Linked DNA regions of Xenopus tropicalis. The protein of the gene in region 2 interacts with the protein of the main gene of each other region in a pairwise test. Links are inferred from orthologs where the notes say so. Each region holds a gene or a part of one and is shown on either strand. Other genes may lie near its edges.

Evidence for each region. The genes of interacting proteins can lie anywhere in the genome.
Region 1: the proteins of yae1 (region 2) and lto1 interact in binary tests that used the Homo sapiens proteins (3 or more experiments, as listed by UniProt). The link is inferred for Xenopus tropicalis from reciprocal best matches to the Homo sapiens genes YAE1 and LTO1.

The regions. Positions count from the first base shown.
Region 1 is NC_030680.2:12,877,598-12,882,865, reverse strand, and holds the start of lto1 (protein LTO1 homolog), read right to left. Parts: upstream 3,065-5,268; 5' UTR 3,038-3,064; coding exon 2,988-3,037; intron 2,879-2,987; coding exon 2,773-2,878; intron 1,202-2,772; coding exon 1,131-1,201; intron 353-1,130; coding exon 235-352; intron 1-234. UniProt on the Homo sapiens protein: The complex LTO1:YAE1 functions as a target specific adapter that probably recruits apo-ABCE1 to the cytosolic iron-sulfur protein assembly (CIA) complex machinery. May be required for biogenesis of the large ribosomal subunit and initiation of translation.
Region 2 is NC_030682.2:64,476,572-64,481,654, reverse strand, and holds the start of yae1 (protein YAE1 homolog), read right to left. Parts: upstream 3,549-5,083; 5' UTR 3,412-3,548; coding exon 3,283-3,411; intron 1,926-3,282; coding exon 1,804-1,925; intron 708-1,803; coding exon 266-707; 3' UTR 1-265. UniProt on the Homo sapiens protein: The complex LTO1:YAE1 functions as a target specific adapter that probably recruits apo-ABCE1 to the cytosolic iron-sulfur protein assembly (CIA) complex machinery. May be required for biogenesis of the large ribosomal subunit and initiation of translation.

The sequences.
Region 1 (5,268 bases), on a different chromosome or scaffold from region 2:
CAGTTGTGGGTTGGGTAGCAGGCCCAAACAGGTCAAAATGCGTATTGTGGGTTTGGGTCCAAGCAAGACTCTGTTGTGCACTGAGTAAGCAATTTGATGACCTTAAACCCCACCCCTTCTCAATATGTTTTCAGTTTTCCAGCATAAATCATAAAATTACATTATGCTGAATAGGCCCTTCCCTTTTGTATTATAAAATAATTTAATAGAAAACATGCATTGTGCAACACTAACCTGTTTTACCTTCCCACGGATATTTGCCATGTCCTCTTGAAGATTTGGATTAGTTGGATCATCTGAATGAAAATTCCGAATCATGGCAATCAGTGAATCAAGGGCTTTTATTTTTCGCCTGCATAGAATTAAAAAAAATAACATCAATTTCCATTTATCGTAATGATTTACATCGTAACACTAGGCTAAAACACTTCATTGAAACTTAACAAGCAAAGCAATTTTTAGCAGTTTGGATCACTTGGTGCTTACAAGTCCAACAAAGAATTGTAGCAGTTATGACTGCATTCACTATTGACCTAATCTTATGAGGCCATCTTTTGAGTGTCAGTGGCGCTGCACATGCTCTGTGTGCTCTGTGTTGCTGTTGAGATGCTAAACTTACAGACCTTCTGAAATCTTAAAAGGAGGTTACCTCTGTCACAGAAGCTAATGCAACAGGGCTGATAATTCATGAACTCAGATGTAGAATACACTGGTTTCCAAGCTGCCATGTAAACTGAATCAGCTTGTAATGTAAAACAGAGATTTTTGACTGGCTTCTGTGGGCTTGAGCTGGCACAGAAACCCCAAAAAACAGCATTTCTAGCCTAGTTCTTTGTTTCTTTGGTCTCCTTTAAAAGGAAAGCACTATACATAACCTTAAGGCCTCAATGACAAAATGTTTGCATATTTTACCGTTGGATAAAATTGTGTTTTATTCATAACGAAAAACCATCTATTCTACTTATTTAACTACACAAGTCTTTTGTGACTGGATTTTCAGGAAAAGGTTTAACATGACATCCCTGAGGTCCTATTTTCAAAATAAGCTATATTGCTAGTGTAAGCAGGAACCTAATGTTCAGATTGATTGGATCAGTGGTGGTTACTTATTAAAGCACAGGAAAACAAACCTTTGACGATCATCAGAAGCAGGTACCAATAGAAGCCTCCATGTTGAAGCGAAACCCAGGTAACAGCCAAGCTGCGTCCAAAGAGGAGAAAAAGTGTAATTAAATGGGGCAATGGTTATTATCATTATTTATATGAGTTTTTTGTGGAGCAATCGCCTTTGCATTAAAGGAGAAGGAAAGTCAAAATCTATTAAGCACGCTATTAAATAGTACTACTATTGCTGTGTAAAAACGCCATATTCCTGGCTTGCCTAATGAAAGATTTACAGAGATACACATACTAGAACCTACATACTTGTTTCAGTGAACGGCGCCCGCCATCTTGTCTGTATGGGCTGAAAAGCACAAGCCAGCCCCCCCTCCGCTCCCCGCTCCCGCCACAAAGCCTCCGCCGCTCCCCGCTCCCGCCACAAAGCCTCCGCCGCTCCCCGCTCCCGCCACAAAGCCTCCGCCGCTCCCCGCTCCCGCCACAAAGCCTCCGCCGCTCCTCACTCCCGCCACAAAGCCTCCGCCGCTCCCCACTCCCGCCACAAAGCCTCCGCCGCTCCCCACTCCCGCCACAAAGCCTCCGCCGCTCCCCGCCACAAAGCCTCTGCCGCTCCCCACTCCCGCCACAAAGCCTCCGCCGCTCCCCACCACAAAGCCCCCGCCGCTCCCCACTCCCGCCACAAAGCCTCCGCCGCTCCCCGCCACAAAGCCTCTGCCGCTCCCCACTCCCGCCACAAAGCCTCCGCCGCTCCCCACTCCCGCCACAAAGCCTCCGCCGCTCCCCACTCCCGCCACAAAGCCTCCGCCGCTCCCCACTCCCGCCACAAAGCCTCCGCCGCTCCCCACTCCCGCCACAAAGCCTCCGCCGCTCCCCGCCACAAAGCCTCTGCCGCTCCCCACTCCCGCCACAAAGCCTCCGCCGCTCCCCACCACAAAGCCCCCGCCGCTCCCCACTCCCGCCACAAAGCCTCCGCCGCTCCCCGCCACAAAGCCTCTGCCGCTCCCCACTCCCGCCACAAAGCCTCCGCCCCTCCCCACTCCCGCCACAAAGCCTCCGCCGCTCCCGCCACAAAGCCCCCGCCGCTCCCGCCACAAAGCCCCCGCTGCTCCCGCCACAAAGCCCCCGCCGCTCCCGCCACAAAGCCCCCGCCGCTCCCGCCACAAAGCCCCCGCCGCTCCCGCCACAAAGCCTCCGCCTCTCCCGCCACAAAGCTTCCGCCGCTCCCACCACAAACCCCCCAAGCTCCACAAACCCTCTGCCGCCCCGCTCCCCCCATCTGCTTGTCACAGAGTTCGCCGACGCTGCGTCGCCATGGCAACCGGCCGCTCCTGCTGTGTGCGCATGCGTCGCCTGCATTAACAAGCCGCCAAGTCTTGAGGGAGTGATGCATTATGGGAATCTTCTCTACCCAGCTCAGCGTTTTTTTTTCTCTGTATGGGGAGACTTAAGGGCACTATTGAGAGAACTGAAGGTATGCCTGCAGCTTGGGATTAACTCTTTATTAGCCTTTCCTTCTCCTTTAATACATGGCATCCTTTAACCAGTGTCACTACTTATTTTTTAGTAGCACCGATTTACACTATGAATGGGGGTATCCTGTGAATCACACACACACACACATATATATATTTAATAGTATATAATTATACACACCTCCGATCCCATTCTTGCTCCATAGACAGCTCCATACTGCTTGCCCTCTGACTCTCCCGCACTGTTTCCTTCCGCCAACCCTTCCTCATACCCCTCCCCGCGGTACCTGCAAAGGAACCCAAGTCACTCGCACAACCACATAATGATACATTTCAAACTTGAACTTCCTCTGCCTGCAGCTGCACATCGGTAAGTAAACATAACACAGGCCGCACCTCTGCTCGCACATAATAATGTCATCAAACAGGTCGTCTGTCCCTTCCATTACTGCTCTCTGTCCCTCTCACGCCGCACACACAACCCTAGCTCAGCGAAATCAGCCTCTGAAAGAAATTCCGGAATTACGTCACACCACATCCGCCTCCCACAAGCAAATAGGAAGAGCGCTGGCCTAGCCGCTGCGTGAGAGCACCAAGATGGCGCCTGTAAAGCGCACTTCCTGTTTCGCAGGTTGCTATGGCTACTGCTTGTGACGCAGCATCGTCTTAGAACGCGGGAAAAGCGTGATAATAAGTAATAATAAGTAATAATGAGTAACTACAAGACCTGAGGTGCGAATGGGAGATTAGCTCTGGGGTAATGCACTAACAAGGTTTTAATGTAACTCTACCATTGCCCTGTCATTTGTGTTAGATAATATACAGGGATTATGAATAGAAAACAGGGTGGGTGCATAGTTGGAAAGAGTTTCTAAGTTTAAATGGGAATTCCCTGCTTTCAGCTTGTGGGACCGCAATGTTGGTGAGGCCATAGTGACGCACAGTGTCTGTGGTGTTTTTGCGGGCAGAGAGAAGTGGGCGGTATTCCAGGTGTGACTGTGGCCTTATGGTGGGATTCAGAGGGCATTTACACAGGGTTGGACTGGGCCGTCGGGACCCTGTTGCCATTCCCCCAGCCGCGGGTGTCCTCCCTTAACATGTTTCACTTACGGTGGCCATACGGGTTAACAGGGTCAGACTGGGGTGTCGGGACACTGGGAAAAATCACGGTGGGCCCCGGCGGCCCAGACCCGACCCCCCTGCCAGACTGCTCCTCCCCTGACGCATTAAATGTACGAGCTCAGGGGAGGACGTCAGGTGGAGGGCCCTGCAAGGGGGGTTAGGGGGGCACCTGTAGGGCCCCTGGGGTGGGAGTGGGGTGGGCCCTTTACCCCCCAGTCCGACAGGTTAAAACCTACGGGTGGGCGATATCGGGTGAATTTAGGCTAATTCAGTTGTTTGGCGACAATTGAATTAGAACGCCGGTCCCCGATCCAACTAAATTTTTTAACCTACCCGATCAATATCTGCCCGATTTCAGGCCAGATATCGGTCGGGCAGGTCTGTCGTTTGTGCCCCTACACGGGCCGATAAGCTGCCGAGTTGGTCTATGGGACCGATATTGGCAGCTACAATTGGCCCGTGTATGGCCACCTTTACACGCGCTCAGGGAAGGACGTCGGACGGGGGCCCCTGCGGGGGACGTGGCCAGTGGGGGCACCTTGGGGGGTGCAGGACCTCTGGGGCAGCAGCTCTGGTGGGCCCTGAACCCCCCCAGTCCAACTCTGCATTTGGAACCAGGACACCCACAGCCAAAGCCCCAGTATTGGACTGGGACAGCAGTGGCCCTTTGGGGCTGCAATGGGAAGGGCCTGGGGTCCGGTTTTTAGATGGGCTGCCCAGTTCATAGCTGCCTGCTTGGTTTTTAGACATCTGGAAACGGGGTAGGATTGGCGTGAAATATGGCCAATCACATCTCGCTACATCATGTCCCGCCCCTATATATCATTGACACCCCTCCCGATGTCCCATCTATATCTAAAGAGAAAGGTGGCAACCCCCTCACAACCTCCTGGGCTCCATCTTAACATTTGCTTCCCCTCATGAGCATGCCCATGCCGTATGGGTGGGGCCCACTTGGTTTTCTCCCGGTGTCCCTCTGGCTCATCAGACCCTGCAAAGCCCTGTGCCAGCTGGAGGAACGCATGCAGGAATATGTTATCTTGGAATTATTAATTGTCACATAGCGTGATGTGGCCTTGAAAAATGCCATGAAGTGCGGGGGGCCACGGGGTCAGGCATAAAATGCTTCTTTATTGCTGTTGCTGCCATTCCAATCGTTATTTGTGCTTGGTGTTTGGGGGCGTGGCTTCGAGGTGTTTGGTCAAATGTTTTGTCTATACCGAAAAGGTGGTATGTACTTAACCTGGGGAACAAATATTGCCCCTACATCAAATTAATTTTGTGCAGAGTCCATATGTGTTTGATACAAGAACTGAAAATGTCTCCTATAGAAAGATACAAGACTTATGCATTCTTCTTTCTTTCCCCAACGCTGACATCTAGTGGTGAGGCTTAGTGGCTGCACTTTCCATTTCAAACCCTTTAAAGATCATTTCTTTGGATTTAAAGAAGAAAGCTGTTCAACAGAACAAATATTGGCTGTAAATGTTGAAAATGGACATTGAGACTGAAATAAACACATTAATATAAAACATGTTTTTTGCACCTTGCTCTG
Region 2 (5,083 bases):
ATGTATTTACTTTTATCTTGCTATTATGGTAGAGATGTATATTTTACACCGAGTTGTGTTATTTTTAACCAATATAAAATCATTAAATATCAATGTCCCTTTATCTAAATCAAACTGTATTTAAAAGAGTCTAACCGACTCTAAAAACATAATTTCTATGACCGATAGTTCTGAACCTAACAAGTATAAATGTGTCATTTGTGTAACTTTGGTTACATTGTAACATGTTTAAAAAGAAACAAAAAATATGGTGCACTGGCTGTGGCTAGCACTTTAATTGAATAAGAGGTGACTCTGTGTTATTGAGTGTTTGAATATAGTAAAGAAGTTCTGCTGAAATATCAAGTTGTTCAGCCACCAAAAGTGTCTCCTTAAAAATCTTACAAAGTTCTTCTTTTGTTGAATCGCTGATATAGTTGGTATTCATGCAACGGAATGTTGATGATCCATTAGAGTCCTGACTTGTGCAACAGTTCCTGGAACCTGCGCAGGAGCCTGGCTCATTCAGTTCACATCTATGCTCATGACTGATTAGAGCCATGTCCTCCACACAGTGCAACAAATCAGATGGTTGTGCACCTTTATAAAAGGAAGATAGATCTTTTACAATTTGTTCCTCACACTGATCTAATGAAGTCAGAAGCTCATGTAGTTTTCCAGAAGCTGCATCTTTTGTCTTGTGAAGTTGGCACCATGCCAGGAGTGCACTGCAACAAGCACACAAAGTACATTATATAAACGACAATGATAACATAGATACATTTTCTAGAAGCACTGGCATTTCCTGATGATACAACAAGTTTTATTGTCAGCTGACCCTAGTTAAACTTTTGACATCAATTTTCTGCTGATTGTCCCTATTGTACTCATTCTTCTATCACGTTTGCAGTAAGTAAAACATCAACATTGACAATTTAAGATTTAAAATATTTTACAAATTTGTGAAGAGCTAGCAGTAGGTTGCAAAATACTTAATTAAAAGAGTGACTGAAGTTTATCGAAGCACAAGTCACATGGCTGTCAATTATCAAAATTAGAGAAAAAAAAAAAATGTTGCTCTTCCTGTAAGGGTGAAGACACACGGAGCTACTAGTAGCGGCTACTTGTTGCAGCTACTAAAACAGACAATGCTGATCATTTACTGATAACTGTCTCTACATGTGTTTTAGCAGAGGCAATTCTCTATTTTCTATGGCAGGGGATTTTCTGGTGTTTAGTAGCCGTGACAAGAAACCCTTTAAAGGGGAAAAAGCCCCCCTTTTTTCACATGAGATAATTCAGTTTTGTGCTTATATAACAAAAGTGTAGAAACTTCTGAACTGCCAAAAATATATACAATTCTTAAAAATATGTAATGTTAAATCTTTCAGCGCTATTTAAGTCTTTATTAACTGCCAATATAATGAATTTTGTAATATTGCTACCTCAGTTCTTGAAATTGTACAGTCAAAGACATACAAACCTTACATTCAGAACAGAAACAGGAAAGCGATCAGAAGCCCCAATTGCCTTTTCCCATCTCCTTCCTAAGCAAAGCAACAGCACAATATTTGTTTTTTTTTTTTATTAAAAAGGTAGCTCTCTTTGACTGTACAACTGCAGGAAATAACCAGAAGGCAGTGATGTTACAAACTTTATTATTTTGGCAGTTAATAAAAACTTAAATAGCTCTAAAACTGAAAAATTAATACTGCTTATAAAAGCACCCTGAGCATTTTGACACATTAAACATTTGTAATTCCCGTGACTGAAAAGCTGTCGGAAATAACTGGAGAAGTGAAGATAAAATACAATACAACTTACCTTAAGATCCCTTTAAGCTCTCCGTAATGCTTTAGCAGGTTCACTCCAACTTTATATCCAAAATTAAACCCTGTTTGTAGAGAATTTTCTTTCCCAGCCTCTATTCCATCAACGTAGCCCTCCTACGAATACAAGAATAGAAATTCAAACTAAACAAGCATTCCACAAAATTAAAGCAGTTAAAATAGTTTTCATCTGTAACCTAAAATTAATTTAAACTTAAAACTCCATGCCTACTGCATCCTACATATCCAACAGACAATATACTGGTGGATACGGTACATTTTTTTCCCTGCCATTTTAACCCTTTCACTGCCAAGCACGTAGGCTGTATGTGCTGGCAGTAAAAGGCTCTATCTGCCAAGCACATACACTTAAATATAGATATTTAGAAGCCTATATTGTTATAGAAGTGGCATTACACAAAAATTCTAGCATATTGTGAAAGCTTAGATTGCCCTGAAAAAAATATATTGTTTTCCTGGGTAAGCTAAAAGTCCACCCTGAGAAAAGGCCTCTAAAGTGAAAGAGCGCAAAATGTTCAAAAACTGTCTGGCAATAAACGTTCTGTTGTGACCAAATCTGCTTGCAGTGAAAGGGTTAATGTGTAGGTGGGTAGGACATGGGACTAATTAGTGCAGTGATCCCCAACAAGTGCCTTGTGAGCAACACGTTGCTCCCCAAGGCCTCAAACCAGGTAGTGATTTTTGAATTCCTGACTTGGGGGCAAGTTTTGGTTGAGTAAAAACAAGATTTACTACCAAATAAAGTCTCCTGTAAGCTGATAGTGTGCATAGAGGCTGCCTAATAGCCAATTACAGCCCTTATTTGGCACCTTCATGAACTTTTATGATGCTTGTGTTGCTCTCCAAGTCTTTTTACATTTGACTGTGGCTCACAAAAAGATCCCCGAATTAGTGTAACCTGGTCAACCAGTAACTTCATAATGAGTTACTTGTGTAACGACTGATAAAGTTCTGAAATGGGAGTGATTATTCTACTTTCCCCGAATCACAGCTTGGGTGCAGGTAAGAAAGTTGTGTATAAAGCAATGACAAGGCAGAGAAATGAGGTAGGTTAGTCTTGAATTAGGGCAAACTCCACTGACCTTCAATGAACGGACTAACTTTATTAGCACATTACTCTTGATTATAATTAATAAAGTGTGCTATATTGAACTACTACTGACTAGCTATTTGGGCCACACAGAAAGAACATGTGTGTGTTTAGAAGAAATGCCGAATTCCTGCGACAAACATTGAAACCCCGATGCGAGTGCTCCATAACACAGCAGTGCCCTGAGGTAAAACAGAGCCCCGCTTTTACCAACCTCCTTGTAATTCCCAGAAAACCTGCTTCTCAATGTATGCCTTGGGGTAGGTAACCAGGAGCACATGAAATCACTTACCAGTAAAATAGGGCAATGCCTAGAAAGGGGCCCCCAAACTCGCTATGTTAGTCTAACTATCTCCCGAATACCTTAATTCTCTTCTCCATGGACAGCTGCCAATCTCGCTGCAAAAGGCGCATCTCGTCTCCATCTTCATCAAACACCTCTGCCTCCCCTCCAAGCTGCTGGATTTCCAAAGCGGTGCGTACCCACGCCATTTCACTATCAGGGGCCGGTATCTAGCTCTAGCATGGCATAAACTGGAGGAGAATCCCTGCTCTAACGCAGAAAAGCTAAATACGCCCCTCGCCCATGACGAAAATATCAGTCTAACTTCACCCCGGAAGTGGAAATTATTTGCAGCCGCATCCTCACCAATAGGGATCGCTATTTTATGCGCCATTTTCTGAAGGCATGTCCATTGCTTATAAGCCAAGATGGTTGTTTGGGTGTAGTAAAAAAAAAAAGCAACGGAAAGCGTATTTCTCTATTTCCTAATGGTGCGTCAGCGCCATCTTGTGTAATATTAGTGCTTGACATGGGGTGAAATAATGTGTGGCGAACTTTATATGGTTCAAATGTTATGTACATAACTAACAGCATGTTGTTTCGTGCTTTTATGATTATATGTAAAGTCTTTTGCGTGCTGAACACAATAATGAGCTCAAGATTATGGCAAAACTCCCCGCCCCAGCTCAGACTTACACTAGCATACCTTCCAACATTTTGAAAATGGAAAGCGGGACAAAAAAAAATGCAGAGCACAGCTACTTTGTGACCACGCCCGTTTTTTTGCGACCACACCCCCTAAATACCACTCCCATTTGGCAGGTTATAGTTTGTTTACATTTCTGGGGGTTTTGTTTTATGTGTTATAGTTTTGCTGAAAAGATGAAATTGTCCTTTAAGTTGCAAGTCTCAGTTCCCCCAAGAGGTCTGTTTAGCTTATTAGTTACACTTGTATCTCAGTGCAGGGGGGGGCTCTTTACCTTTCTGGGTTCTTTGCCAAAAGCCCACTTATTTCATTAAATGTGAGAAACAATGTATCTAAGTGCAATGTATCTAAGTGGGGTCTCTGCCAAAAGCTACTTTTAATTAAATTAGCTTCAGTGCAGAAGATCAAAGGGAAATGAGGGACTTTTCAGTAAGAATCTGGGACTGCAGGCTGAGCTGCCAAAAGAGAGACTGTCCCGCGAAAATCGGGACAGTTGGGAGGTATGCACTAGGGTTGCCACCTTTTCTCGAAAAAGATGCTGGCCTTCCTATATTTTTAGCTATTTTCCCTATTAATAACATTAGCATTAAAGGAGAAGGAAAGGTAAAAACTAAGTAAGCTTTATCAGAAAGGTCTATGTAAATACAGCCATAAGCACTCACAGAAACGCTGCACTGAGTTCTCTGTTAAAAGATACAGGATTTGTTGTCTCTTTGTTTTCCTGTGCCAGACACACGCAGCTCTCTCCTCTCTCCCCTCTCCTGCTCCCTCCTCCCTCAAGAATGCTAAGAACTCCCTTCCCCCCTTAGGAATGTGCGATCTTAGCCAATCAGCAGGAAGATTCCTCATAGTCTTACTAACTGAGCATGTACTCTTGGTCTTGGTGTAGGAGTGAGGCATTATGGGAACTTTCACCAAGCTCAGTGTTTTTTTTCCCTATAAGGCTTCTGATCATCTGAACAGGTGAAATATGGGGAGACTTAAGGGCACTATTGAGAGAACTGAAGGTATGCCTGCAGCTTGAGATTAACTCTTTATTAGCCTTTCCTTCTCCTTTAAGAATAATTTGTACTGGCCAGGCCGGTAAAATACCGGGCAGGTGTCAACCCTAACTTACACGTGTTTACCTAAGAATCAATGAGGTTTTTAATTGAAGTACTTTTTAAATCTAAATG